2 linked regions of the Anolis sagrei genome follow. The protein of the gene in region 1 interacts with the protein of each later gene in a biochemical or structural test. Links are inferred from orthologs where the notes say so. Each region holds a gene or a part of one and is shown on either strand. Other genes may lie near its edges.

Region 1 (7,132 bases):
CAAGGGGACCGGCTCCGTTTCCCTCTGTTTTCTGCAATGTACTTCTCTCCACCTGCACAGCAGCCAAAGAACCCCAGAAGGAGTGGGAATTATTCATGGCTAGAACAAGGCCCAGATCTCCTTACACCACATCAGTGCCGAGTTGCTGAAATCCTCATGAGAAAGCAGACAGTTCTCCAATCAGGTATGAAACATATCAGGGCATCATACTTCCCTGCAACCCTTTCATTTGCAATATTCTGGGAGCAAGTTATAGGGTTTGAGTGCCCTTTATTGTAAGGGATATGCTTTATTCAAGGGTCAGGAAGCTTGCCCCTCATGGGGCTGGCAGGTGCCCTTAATCGTAAGGGATGCTGCAGAAGATGGATGGCCATGGGTTGGGAGCAGGCCCGTAGCGAGGGGGGGGGGGGTTAGGGGTTCAAACCCGCCCCCCGAAATGTTTCAGATTTTTTTAAAAAACCTGGTTTACTCATGAATTTTAACTGGTTAACCAAATCCCCATGCTAAGTCTATGAGATGCAAAAAATCAAGAGTCCCTCCAGAACTGCAAGCACTATCTCGAGCAAATATTGGCAATTTATTCACACTGTCATTATTTGCAGCAATAGCCGATGTAGTTGTTCTGGTACAGCTGTACCAGGAGCTCCAACTTTATTTGCTTTGTATTAAATGTTTGCTTGCAGTCCTAGGTTTCAGGGACTCTGCAGATAGGTGGCTTCCTTCGGTTGCAGTCATAGGGCAAGTCACCTGTCCATCATCGTTAAGTTTTGGTCCCGCCCCTTGCTCAGGGCAATTGGAAAGGGAAGGGAGCCATTTTTAGTTAGTCTCAGCAAGGTAAGCTTATGTATAGGATGTGTGCAAGCTTCCCCTGTACAAAAGCTTCAACCCTTAAGACCTTCCGGGGGAGAAAGGTCTTAAGAGTCTCCAAAGAATTTCCAGGAAAACAGCCCTAAAGACCAAAGAACTCCAGCTGGAGAACATCTACTGCCTTGCTGGTAGGTCCACTCGGCGTTCGAGACGCAGTTCGACCCGGTAGCGGAGCCCACATCAGTAAGGGTTAGATTACAGTCAGCCTGGGAAAAGTTAAAACGGGGATTTTTCTTTAAAGAAGAAGTTATTGAAGACAGTTGCCTGTCCTTCGTGGGCAAGATTAGGAATTCACCAGTTGCCTAAAAGCTTGGAATCATTTGCTTAACTTTACTGAAGACAAGAGAAGTTTCTGTTTGATTGTTCATTAATAAAATACTTTGTTGTACTTCTCAAGCCATCTAAAGACTGTTTGTGGTGGAAACCTCTGAGAACTTCTCTTTAGGCCCCCTGGCTTCCTGCTGGGCAAAGGTTGCACATCCTGTTCTAAAGACAATTATTTACAGGCCCGGCGCGTGACAGAATAGTAGTGAAGCAACCAAGTTGGGGGGGGGGGGGATGTTGAATGCTCTCATTAAGGAGGCCAGACTTGGTGGAGGTGGTTGACAAGGGCGGAGCTGCAGGCTATTGAAGGCTGCTCTGCCCCTCTTTGCTTCAGCGTGAGCTAGGAGGCGGGTTTCAACCCCCCCTGCGAAATTTTCAACCCCCCCCCCCAAATTTCAACCCCTCCCGAATTTTTTTTCTGGCTACGGCCCTGGTTGGGAGTGCTCGGATGGTGCTTTCCTGCATGTCAAAATGTGGTGAGGTAAAGGTAAAGGGTTTCCCCTGACATTAAGTCTAGGGGGTTGGTGCTTATCTCCATTTCTAAGCCGTAGAGCCGGCATTGTCCATAGACACCTCCAAGGTCATGTGGCCAGTATGACTGCATTGAGTGCTGTTACGTTCCTATTGATCTACTCGCATTTGCATGTTTTCAAACTGCTAGATTGGCAGAAGCCGGGGCTAACAGCGGGAGCAAACCCTGTTACCTGGATTTGAACCTGCAACCTTTCTGTCAACAAGCTCAGCAGCTCAGCAGTTTAACCCACTATGCCACCGGAGGCTCCTAAAATGGGTTGAACTGGACCCATAACCCTTTGGTTAGGGAAATCCCCAAAATAGCAGAATATTAAAAAATACAAAGTAGGATACTTAATTGAGCAATTTAGCTCACAGCAGGCAGAAGGTGTTGTGGATGGAAAATAATCCTTTTGGGTTGTTGTAGGCCACCTTCCCTCTCTCCTGAGGAATCTGGACAAGGACCAAGTAGCAACAGTAAGAACTGACCACGGAACAAGAGACTGGTTCAAGATTGGGAAAGGCGTACGGCAAGGCTGCATCCTCTCACCCAACCTTTTTAACTTGTATGCAGAACACATCATGCAAGGATGTGCGGGGCTTGATGAATGCAAAGCTGGGGTGAAAATGGCTGGAAGAAACATTAACAACCTCAGATATGCAGATGACACCACTCTGATGGCCGAAAGCGAGGAGGAGCTGAGGAGCCTTCTAATCAAGGCGAAAGAAGAAAGCGCAAAAGCCGGGTTGCAGCTAAACATCAAAAAAACCAAGATTATGGCAACAAGAATGATTGACAACTGGGAAATAGAGGGAGAAAACGTGGAGGCCATGACAGACTTTGTATTTCTAGGTGCAAAGATTGCTGCAGACACAGACTGTGGCCAGGAAATCAGAAGACGCTTACTTCTTGGGAGGAGAGCAATGTCCAGTCTCGATAAAATAGTCAAGAGTAGAGACATCAGACTGGCAACAAAGATCCATTGCCTAGTCAAAGCCATGGTCTTCCCTGTAGTCACCTACGGATGTGAGAGCTGGACCTTAGGGAAGGCTGAGCGAAGGAAGAGAGATGCTTTTGAGCTGTGGTGTTGGAGGAAAGTGCTGAGAGTGCCTTGGACTGCGAGAAGATCCAACCAGTCCATCCTCCAGGAAATAAAGCCTGACTGCTCACTGGAGGGAAGGAGACGAGAGACAAAGTGGAAGTCCTTTGGCCACATCATGAGGAGACAGGAAAGCCTAGAGAAGACAATTATGCTGGGGAAAGTGGAAGGGAAAGGGAAGAGGGGCCGACCAAGGGCAAGGTGGATGGATGGCGTCCTTGAAGTGACTGGACTGACCTTGAAGGAGCTGGGGGTGGCCACGGCCAACAGGGAGCTCTGGCGTTGACTGGTCCATGAAGTCACGAAGAGTTGGAAACAACTGAACGAGTGAACAACAACATCTATCTCTGTGTGTACCAGATCAGCTGTGTGACTCAATTGTTGATCTGGTTTGAGCTGTATCAATTATATGCAAACAAACACACTTTCCTATATTGCAGTAATGGGCCGACTTCGACACTCCAGGTGTTTCGGACTAGAATCATAGAATCAAAGAGTTGGAAGAGACCTCATGGGCCATCCAGTCCAACCTTATTCTGCCAAGAAGCAGGAATATTGCATTCAAATCACCCCTGACAGATGGCCATCCAGCCTCTGTTTAAAAGCTTCCAAAGAAGGAGCCTCCACCACACTCCGGGGCAGAGAGTTCCACTGTTGAACGGCTCTCACAGTCAGGAAGTTCTTCCTCATGTTCAGATGGAATCTCCTTTCTTGTAGTTTGAAGCCATTGTTCCACGTCCTAGTCTCCAAGGAAGCAGAAAACAAGCTTTCTCCCTCCTCCCTGTGGCTTCCTCTCACATATTTATACATGACTACAGCTTCTACAAGTTAGGAATTGTGGAAGTTGAAGTCCAAAGCACCTGGAAGGCTGAAGTTAGAGTGTTAGGGTCTCCTTCTCTGAATGTCTTCAAAAACAGAGCCTGGGCGGCCATTTGTCGGGAGGGCTTCAATGGCGATGCAGAAGGGGGTTGGACTGGATGGCCTTTGGGGACCTCTTCCAAATGGAGGAGAGTCCTATTCCCTGCGAAAGAGGCGGCCTGAGAGTGTGGACACGCCCTCTAGTGGCGCTTTAAAACCGCAGCAAGCGGCAGACGCCGGCTCTCACTCTGCCAAGGAAGGATGCGCCAGGACTTCCGAGCCTTTCCTGCTCCTTTTCCTAGAAGCAGAGGAAGATAGAGTTGGAAGAGACCTCAAGGGCCATTCATTCCAGGCAGGAGAAGCACAATCAAAGCCCTCCCGACAGATGGCCGTCCAGTCTCTGCTTCAGAGAAGGAGACTCCACTGGATTCCCAGGCAGCAGATTGAGATGATTCTTCTTCTTCTTCCAAGCTGAGATTCCTCCTCCTCCTCTTCTTCCAAGGCTTTCTTCCAGAGTCAGGACAGAGGACATGAGTGCCATCCGGAACCCTCTGGATCCCTCTCCGTGCCATCCTTAAGCTTCTGGATCCCTGAATGCGGAGAGATCTCCTGAATCCGCGACGAGGCTGAGAAAGCGGCTCAAGGCGCACAGCTCCTTCTTGGATGGACGGGGCGGGCGGAGGAAGAAACAGAAGCAGAGGTGAGTGGGTGTCTGGGTTGGTTGGACAGGAATCCTTCAAAATGAAGCCTTGGTATTGCTCCCTTTTGGGGGGAAACCCTCTTCTGCAAACATCGGGCCCCCTTTTGTGACTTTCACCCCATCCCTGAATGAGTATCCCCTGCTTCTCTCTCTCCAAACATAGAATCCTAGAGTTGGAAGAGACCTCATGGGCCATCCAGTCCAACCCCATTTCTGCCAAGAAGCAGGACAATCGCATTCAAAGCACCCCTGACAGATGGCCATCCCGCCTCTGTTTCAAAGCCTCCAAAGAAGGAGACTCCACCCCACTCTGAGGCAGAGAGTTCCACTGCTGAACAGCTCTCACAGTTAGGAAGTTCTTCCTCATGTTCAGGTGGGATCTCCCTCCTTTTTCTCTCCCCAAACATAGAATCCTAGAGTTGGAAGAGACCTCATGGGCCATCCAGTTCAACCCCATTTCTGCCAAGAAGCAGGAAAATCGCCTTCAAAGCACCTCTGACAGATAGCCATCCAGCCTCTGTTCAAAAGCCTCCAAAGAAGGAGCCTCCACCCCACTCTGAAGCAGAGAGTTCCACTGCTGAACAGTTCTCACTATTAGGAAGTTCCTCCTCATGTTCCTCCTTTCCTGTAGTTCCATTGCATCCTAGTCTCCAGGGCAGCAGAAAACAAGCTTGCTCCCTCCTCACATCTTGATCTACGGTCCCCATCATGTCTTCTCTCAGCCTTCTCTTCTGCAGGCTAAACATGCCTAGTTCTTTAAGCCGCTCCTCACAGGGCTTGTTTTCCAGACCCTTGATCTTTTGAGTTGCCCTCCTTTATACATATTCCAGCTTAGAGTCAACCTCTTCATTCAATTCCGGTGCCCAGAATTGGACACAATGTGATTCCAGGGCAGCAGAAAACAAGCCTGCTCCCTCCTCCCTATGACTTCCCCGTTCCCCTCACCTCTTTATATATGACCCTTATCACGTCTCCTCTCAGCCTTCTCTTCTGCAGGCTAAACATGCCCTGCTCTTTAAGCCACTCCTCACAGGGCTTGTTCTCCAGACCCTAGATCCTTTGAGTTGCCCTCCTTTATACACATTCCAGCTTAGAGTCAACATCTCCCTTCGATTTCTGTGCCCAGAATTGGACACAGTGTGATTCCAGGGCAGCAGAAAACAAGCCTGCTCCCTCTTCCCTATGACAGGTCACAGGTTCGAATCCAGGGAGAGCACAGATGAGCTCCCTCTATCAGCTCCAGCTCCTCATGCATGGACATGAAAGAAGCCTCAAATAAAGATGATAAAAAAATCAAAACATCTGGGCGTCCCCTGGGCAATGTCCTTTCAGACGGCCAATTCTCTCACACCAGAAGTGACTTGCAGTTTCTCAAGTTACTCCTGACACGAAAAAAAAAATCACATCTCCTCTCAGGCTTCTCTTCTGCAGGCTAAACATGCCCAGCTCTTTAAGCCGCTCCTCATAGGGCTTGTTCTCTAGACCCTTGATCATTTTAGTCACCCTCTTTCCAGCTTGTCAACATCTCTCTTCAATTGCGGTGCCCAGAATTGGACCCAATGTGAATCCAGGTGTGGTGTGACCAAGGTTAAATAGAATAGAGGGATAGCATGACTTCTCTAGATCTAGACACTATGCTCCTATTGATGCAGGACAAAATCCCATTGGCTTTTTTGCTGCCACATAACATTGTTGGTTCATTAACTTGTTGTCCACAAGGAATCAAATCCTGAAATTGCACAGAAATCTTGGCCTTTTTCTGCTACAAAGGAAACTCTGGCTGAATCTACACTGGGTTGTTGTAGGTTTTTTCAGGCTATGTGGCCATGTTCTAGAGGCATTCTCTCCTGACGTTTCTCCTGCATCTATGGCAAGCATCCTCAGAGATAGTGAAGATGCTTGCCATAGATGCAGGCGAAACGTCAGGAGAGAATGTCTCTAGAACATGGCCATATAGCCCCCCCAAAAAAACCCTACAACAACCCAGTGATTCCGGCCATGAAAGCCTTCGACAATACAATGAATCTACACTGTTTGGCACCACTTTAACTGCCATGGCTCACTACTATGGAAACTTGAGATTTGTATTGTCAAAGGCTTTCATGGCTGGAATCACTAGGTTCTTGTTGTGAGGATGCTTGCCATAGATGCAGGCGAAACGTCAGGAGAAATGCCTCTAGAACATGGCCCTATAGCCCAAAAAAACCCACAAGAACCTTGAGATTTGTAGTTTGGCGAGGCACCAGCACATCTTGGCAGAGAAGGTGAAGAGACCTTGCAAAACTTCACCTCCCAGGATTCCATCACATGGAGCCATGGCCATTCAAGTGGCATCAAAATACATTTATTCTACAGTGGAGATGCGCCCTGTGTTACTACGAATGCGTGTTTTCCATGCTCTGCGCATTCCAGCACTCAGCGTTGCGGAAATTGCTTTTCTGATGGCATTGTTTGGAGGGCCAGGTTGTTATTTCCTTGCAGTGCTGGAAAGTCACCTCTTTCTTGTCACTTCTGATTTCTTTATTGCTACAGGTCAAGGGTCCCTTATTCAAAATGCTTGGAACTAGAAGACTTTTGGATTTATTTTTTTGAGAGGGTTTTAGAATACCACCCTGAGTCCCCTCGGGGAGATAGGGCTGGTTATAAACAAACTATTATTATGTATTGTCGAAGACTTTGTAGGGTTTTTTGGGCTATATGGCCATGGTCTAGAGGCATTCTCTCCTGACGTTTCGCCTGCATCTATGGCAAGCATCCTCAGAGGTAGTGA
Region 2 (7,590 bases), on another chromosome or scaffold:
AGAGAAGCTATACGAGAGCCTTATGATCTATCTGTGCAAATTCTTTTGCAGTGGTGGCTTTATATTTGTATATTCTTGGCTGTTATAGCAGTGTTTGCCATCTGGCCAAGCAGAGCTCATGGGTAGGATGTCAGGCAGGAAACAGTCTGGCAGGTTTAATCTTCAAATAGCCTGTCTACTTATGGTGACCCCTTGAATTTCAAAGCGCTTTCTTAAACAAGGCATACTCCAAGGTGGTTTTGACAGGGTTTTTTTCCCTTTGAAATTGCTGCTATTGTTGTGTTCCTTCAAGTAATTTCTGACTTATGGCAACTGTTAAGTGAACCTATCATGATGTTTTTCTTGGTAAGATTTGTTCAGAGGGGTTTGCCTTCCCCTGCGGCTCAGAGAGTGTGACCTGCCCAAGATCACCCAGTAGGTTCCCATGGTTGAGCAAGGATTTGAAATCTGATCTCCCAGTATCCTTGTTTAATACACAAATGACTACATCATGCTGGTTGTCTTCTTCCCTGAAATTGGCTTCCTAAAAACAGAGCAGCAAGCTTTTCAGGACCCTGGACAGTGTCTCTAATGAATGCAACTGTATCAACAGAAGTCCTTTCCTATTCATTGTATTTGACATCTTTCAGCAGGTAAACATAGAATGCAAAGCCTTAAAGTAAGTATTTTGGCCTGACATCTACAACTTTGCCATCTCATGTTGTCACTCTGGCTTAGTGGCATGCTTGCCTCTCAATGGAAATTGATTTTAAGGCTACAATTGCTTAGGAGCCATGATAATTTCAGATTTGGGGATCTTTGATGTTTTAGATTCGGAATTCTCTGGTTCATTGCTTAATTAATTTATTGTTTATTATTTATTTCAAACATTTGTACCCTGCCCTTCTCAACCCTCCCCCCCTCCGGGGGGGGGACGGACTCAGGGCGGCTTACATCTGGCACAATTGGATGCCGTTACATATAAATAATACATATTGTAATTACACAGTAAATTAATTTTAAAATTAGTTTTAAAATAAAAAGTACATTAATAAAAATGCAAACCAGTAGCCTCTCATAGTCTCTGACTTGGTTACTGCCAAAATTTGGGCTCACAACAACTTCCTTACTTGGGCTAATTCTGTAAAACTGATACTGAGTCCAACTAGCTCAGAATTGTTTCTCCAGGCCTTTGATGTCTACTCTGATTAGTAATGACTGATGGGGATCTCTGGAACTATCTTTCACTATGATGCTTTTCATTTCCTTTCATAAGTTAGGATCCAATGTTGGGGTGTGCGTGTGAATATATAACTTTTTACATGTAATTTCGGATGCTTACTCTTTGCAAACCTTCCCCAAAGACACTTTTCATGAATCCCAAACTTATGCCCATTTTTAGAAGTATGTCTCACTATGTTCAATGCAACCTACACCCACAACTTGCTTAGGGCTAAACTAGATGTGACATCAAAAGATTTTTTTAAAGAAAAAGTTTAATAGTAGCTATAAAATGGGCCAGAGAGAATTATAGGAAGGACTGCAGAGTTGTGCAAGAGATTTCAGTGTTTCTTCCTGTCTTTTCCCTATTAAAATCCTAATGTCCAATCTGTTCTCCCTTGTAGAAACATATAGGTATTTGCATACAACACCAGAATTTTTATATCCATAACAGGAACGGATTTTTTGAGGATCTTCTTCATATGTGTCTTGAACACCAATTTCCATAAACCCCCAGACAGCTCCTTAGGTGACTGCAAATTTAGGGAAGCTCTAGTCCAGTGGTTCCCAACCTTTGGACCTCCGGGTATTTTGGACTTCAGTTCCCACAATTCCTAACAGCTGGTAAACTGGCTGGGATTTCTGGGAGTTGAAGTACAGAATAACTGGATGACCAAAGGTTGGAAACCACCTCTCTAGTCCAACAAACCTGGAGAACAACTGGGATGGGGTGGCTGAAATGTGCGCACAGATGGAGTCTTTATGAATAGGAATACAGTAAATCAGGGGTGATCTATGGGGTCCCTCCACATGTTGCTAGACTGCAGCTCTTAGCATTTGTTACAATTGGATATGCTGATAAGGGACGATGAAAGAGGAAATCTCTGAAGCAAATGAATATAGAAATGGAAGAAATTTCTCACCTGGAGCATCTCTACCACCTTCTGCTTGGGAAGTCTGGTCTACACATAACATTGAATGATGCAATAATCCTGGATCATATCAGAATGACATTTTTAAAATGTTCATCCCTGGGAAATGAATCTCCTTGCAAGCAGAAAACTATCACATAATTGAACTGAAAGAGAAATAGAATCATTTTTTCTAGTGCACATTCTCTCGTAGAGCACTGAATAGGTATTGAAGAACCAAGGTCTGTTTTGCCACCTGAGGATTCATCACCTTGTTCCATGCTTGCTACACTACATGTGCTAGTCACAAAAGACTGATGGGACCAACAGCTCTTTTCATGATATTGTAACCTTCAATCCAGTTTTGGGGATGGTTAACTTCCAGACTCAGGTGTTAACCCTGTGATCTTCTGAATTAGTTCTTTGTTATTACATTTGTTTGCTGCATTAATGTAAAACATGGTTGTGTATTCATGTTGTAGATGGAATAATTTGGTGATCTGTCAGGCATGGAATGTTCCATGTGAGGCATGGATTATTGGGACTTGTGATCAGCTGGTTTTCTGAGGGGATTGTAAAAGTGAAGATGCATATGGTTGTTAGTCTGGTGAGAATTGGGTCTGTCAGTATTAGAAATTAGTTAGTGGGATGCAGAATGTGAATGATTATAAGTTAGGATCTGAGATAGAAGAGAACTAAGACTCAGAGTCAGACTTAGCAAGGAGATGTGTATGAGAGGGAAATATGTCATTTCGATGCATTAAAAACAAATCTAATCTCATGTTCGATTTCTGATAAATACATCTTTTTGCATGAAATGCTTTGGTCTCTTGGAAAGCCAAGTTCAGACAAGGTGTCTATGGTGGCAGTTCAGAATCAAGAGTGGGGTGCCCAGTGGAAAAAGAAGATAAATAAAATCTCACACAGAACCACAAGGGCTTAGAGGAATAAATGGAAGCCCTCACATTTGGTAGTTTGCGTGGGATAAATGGAAGCCCTCACATTTGGTAGCTGTGGGTGATAAAATGGAACCCCTCACGTTTGGTAGTTTGGTTGGGAGAAATGGAAGCCCTCATATATTGTAGGTGTATTTGGGATAAATTGAAGCCATCACATGAGGTAGTTGTATTTGGGATAAATGGAAGCCAGCATATGAGGTAGCTTGGTTGGGTTAAATGGAAGCCTTCACATTTGGTTGCTTGGTTGGGAGAAATGGAAGCCCTCATATTTGGTAGCTGTATTTGGAATAAATGGAAGCCCTCTCACAAGATAGCTTGGTTGGTTAAATGGAAGCCTTCACATTTGGTAGCTTGGTAGGGATAAATGAAAGCCTTCACATTTGTTTGCTTGGTTGGGATAAATGGAAGCCCTCACACTTGGTTGCTTGGTTGGGAGAAATGGGAGCTTTCATATTTGGTAACTGTGTGTGGGATAAATGGAAGCCCTCACATGAGGTAGCTTGGTTGGGTTAGATAGAAGCCTTCACATTTTGTTGCTTGGTTTGGAGAAATGGAAACCCTCACATGAGGTAGCTTGGTTAGGTTAAATGGAAGCCTTCCCATTTGGTAGCTGTGGGTGGGAGAAATGGAGGTCCTCATATTTGGTAGCTGTAGTTGGGTTAAACGGAAGCCTTCCCATTTGATAGCTTGGTTGGGATAAACGGAAGCCCTCACATGAGGTAGCTCTATTTGGGGACAAATGGAAGCCCTCACATTTGGTAGCTTGGTTGGGATAAATGGAAGCCCTCATATTTGGTAACTGTGTGTGGGATAAATGGAAGCCCTCACATGAGGTAGCTTGGTTGTGTTGAATGGAAGCTTTCACATTTGGTAGCTTGGTTTAGAGAAATGGAAGCCCTCATATTTGGTAGCTGTATTTGGGATAAATGGAAGCCCTCGCATGAGGTAGCTTGGTTGGGTTAGATGGAAGCCTTCACATCTGGTAGCTTGGTTGGGAGAAACGGAATCCCTCATAGCTGTGTTTGGGATAAATAGAAGCCCTGTTTGCTGGCAAGGGTTGGGATAAGTGGAAGCCTTCATATTTGGTAGGTGTAGGTGGGATAAATGCAAGCCCTCACATCTGGTGGCAGATGTTGAGATAGGTGGAAGTCTTCATATTTTGAGGAAGGGGATTGGGAGAAGTGAAAAACCCTCATATGTGGTAAAAAAAATGGGGGAAAGCCGTTTAGTCCCTTTCCCTACCAACTGCTAGCTAGAGCTGGTGACTAAATAATTTGAGAAATAGGAGAACTCTTTGGAGGGTGTGTGCGTGACCAGGTTTAGACAGTTGCCTTTCTGACAGAGCGTGACTCTGAGCCAAGCTCTGCCCTCCTCTTCCTCCTCCTCCTCCTGTCCGGGAGATTTAAAAGTCCGCTCTGTTTGGCTGGGAGTTGCAAAGCCGGGAGGAAAGCAGCGGCGGCAAAAAGCGCGCCAAAGGCAGAGAGGTGCCCAGGAACCATGCAAAGCCGGGCGGGCGCTTGTTGGCGACCCCAGCCTTCCTTGGCAGCCTCGGAGGAGGGCGGGAGAAGCCTTTGCCGCCCCAGGAAGATGCCCCTCGGGTCGGGCACCCCTTGGGGGCTGCTCCTCTTCCTCCTCGCCTTTGGGGTCAGCTCCTGCAAAGGTAAGGGCTCTTCCCACCCTCCCCTCCCTTCGCCACCCCACGCCTTTCTCCCTCTTTCAGGCGCTCCTTCTGTCTAGAGATCTACTCCTCCCTCCAAGTGTCCCTCCTTATCTTTTCTCCTGGGCTTGCTTGCTTCTGAGATCTATATGGATGCATTTGTATGTATATGTATATTTATGTCACTTTTGGTTGTTAGAGGTATCAGGCTGGATCTACACTGCCCTATATCCCAGAATCTGATTCCAGATTATCTGATTTGAGAGTTCTAGTTTTTGTTTAATAGTTTCAGTTGTTAGGTTGGATATCTCTTTTTATTGTTAGAGGTATTAGGCTGGATCTGCACTGCCCTATATCCCAAGTTCTGATTCCAGATTATCTGATTTGAACTGAATTCTACACTGCCAGATAATCTGGGATAAACAGATAATCTGGGATCAGATCCTGGAATATAAGGCAGTGTAGATCCAGCCTCATATCCTACAAGCAGTTTGATAATATCACCTAGATCAGATCATAATTAAAATTCATATATATATATATATATATATATATACTTAGTTATAATTATATTAATTATGATATGATTATTCTTAATTAGGATATAATTTAGATAATACTACAAAACTGCTTGTAAGATCTGAGGCTGGATCTACACTGTCCTATATCCTAGGTTCTGATTCCAGATTATCTGATTTGAACTGAATTCTATGAGTCTACACTGCCAGATAATCTGGGATAAACAGGTAATCTGGGATCAGATCCTGGAATATAGGGCAGTGTAGATCCAGCCTCAGATCCTACAAGCAGGTTTGTAATATCACCTAGATCAGTGTTTCTCAACCTGGGGGTCGGGACCCCTGGAGAGGTCGTGAGGGGGTGTCAGAGGGGTCACCAAAGACCATCAGAAAACACAGTATTTTCTGTTGGTCATGGAGGCTCTGTGTGGGAAGTTTGGCATAATTTTATCATTGGTGGGGTCCAGAATGCTCTTTGATTGTAGGTGAACTATAAATCCCAGCAACTACAACTCCCAAATGTCAAGGTCTATTTTCCCCAAACTCCATCAGTGTTCACATTTGGGAACTTTGAGTATTCATACCAAGTTTGGTCTGGATCCATCATTGTTTGAGTCCACCGTGCTCTCTGGATGTAGGTGAACTACAACTCCAAAACTCAAGATCAATGCCTGTCAAAACCTTCCAGTATTTTCTGTTGGTCATGGGACCTTGAAGGAGCTGGGGGTGGTGACGGCCGACAGGGAGCTCTGGCGTGGACTGGTCCATGAAGTCATGAAGAGTCGGAGACGACTGAACGAATGAACAACAACAACAACATGGGAGTTCTGTGTGCCAAGTTTGGTTCTATTCCATTGTTGATGGAGTTCAGAATGCTCTTTGATTGTAGGTGAACTATAAGTCCCAGCAACTACAACTCCCAAATGACAAAATCAATCCCCCCAACCCCACCATTTTTTAAATTTGATTGTATTGGGTATTTGTGCATAATTTGGTCCAGTGAATGAAAATACATCCTGCATATCAGATATTTATATTACGATTCATAATGGTAGCAAAATTACAGTTATGAAGTAGCAACAAAAATAATTTTATGGTTGGGGATCACCACAAGATGAGGAAATGTATTAAGTGGTCATGGCATTAGGAAGATTGAGAACCACTGACCTAGATCATATCACAATACATCATCTCTCTCTCTCTCTCTCTCTCTCTATATATATATATAATTAAAAATTATCATAATTAAAAATTATGATATGATACATATATGTGTGTGTGTGTGTGGGTGGGTGTGTAGAGAGAGAGAGAGAGAGTTGTTGTTCATTCGTTCAGTCACTTCCGACTCTTCGTGACCTCATGGACCAGCCCACGCCAGAGCTCCCTGTCGGCCATCACCACCCCCAGCTCCTTCAAGGTCAAGCCAGTCACTTCAAGGGTACCATCCATCCATTCATCGTGCCCTTGGTCAGCCCCTCTTCCTTTTTCCTTCCATTTTCCCCAGCATAATTGTATTCTCTAAGCTTTCCTGTCTTCTCATGATGTGGCCAAAATACTTCATCTTTGCCTCTAATATCCTTCCTTCCAATGAGCTGCTCTCTCACCCCCTCCCTCTATATATAATTATATTTAATTATAATTATTTTAGTTATGATGTGATTATTTTTAATTACGATATGATTATTGTTAATTATGATATGATCTATATAATACTACAAAACTGCTTGTAAGATCAGAGGGTGGATCTACACTGCCCTATATCCCAGGATCTGATCCCAGATTATCTGCTTATCCCAGATTATATTATTTGGCAGTGCAGACTCATAGAATTCAGTTCAAATCAGATAATCTGGGATCAGAACCTGGGGTATAGAGCAGAGTAGATCGAGCCTGATACCTCTAACAACCAAAAGAGATATCCAACCTAACAACTGAAACTATTAAACAAAATCCAGAACTCTCAATCAACCCAATAACACTGTGCAACACCAGTTTTGTTCCTGGGTTATAAATGTCGTTTCCTAATTGGTTCTATCATAAAAACATGGGGCAAGTTTATTAAACTGCCCATATTTTGTTTTAGACGGACCTCCTGCAGCACATTTTTGCTATGTTTTTCAAGGAATATATTTTTAAGTTTCAACCAATTTGACCTAATTTGTGGCAGCCACAAAAACAAAGTTTCTGAAGTAGAACTATTATTTTCAAAATAAGTACTGCCCATTTAAACAGGAAATAACACTTTCAAACCAGGAACAGATTTTGTTTTCACATTTTGTTACATATTTTCAATAAAAAAGCTGTTTTTTTAATCATTCAGTAAAACAGTAAAAGTGTGAGACCCG

The links.
Region 2: the proteins of NMUR1 (region 1) and NMU form a complex in vitro, tested with the Homo sapiens proteins (2 studies listed by BioGRID). The link is inferred for Anolis sagrei from reciprocal best matches to the Homo sapiens genes NMUR1 and NMU.

Annotation. Positions count from the first base shown.
Region 1 is NC_090023.1:266,931,801-266,938,932, forward strand, and holds the start of NMUR1 (neuromedin-U receptor 1), read left to right. Parts: upstream 1-3,907; 5' UTR 3,908-4,362; intron 4,363-7,132. UniProt on the Homo sapiens protein: Receptor for the neuromedin-U and neuromedin-S neuropeptides.
Region 2 is NC_090025.1:73,560,135-73,567,724, forward strand, and holds the start of NMU (neuromedin-U), read left to right. Parts: upstream 1-4,437; 5' UTR 4,438-4,567; coding exon 4,568-4,730; intron 4,731-7,590.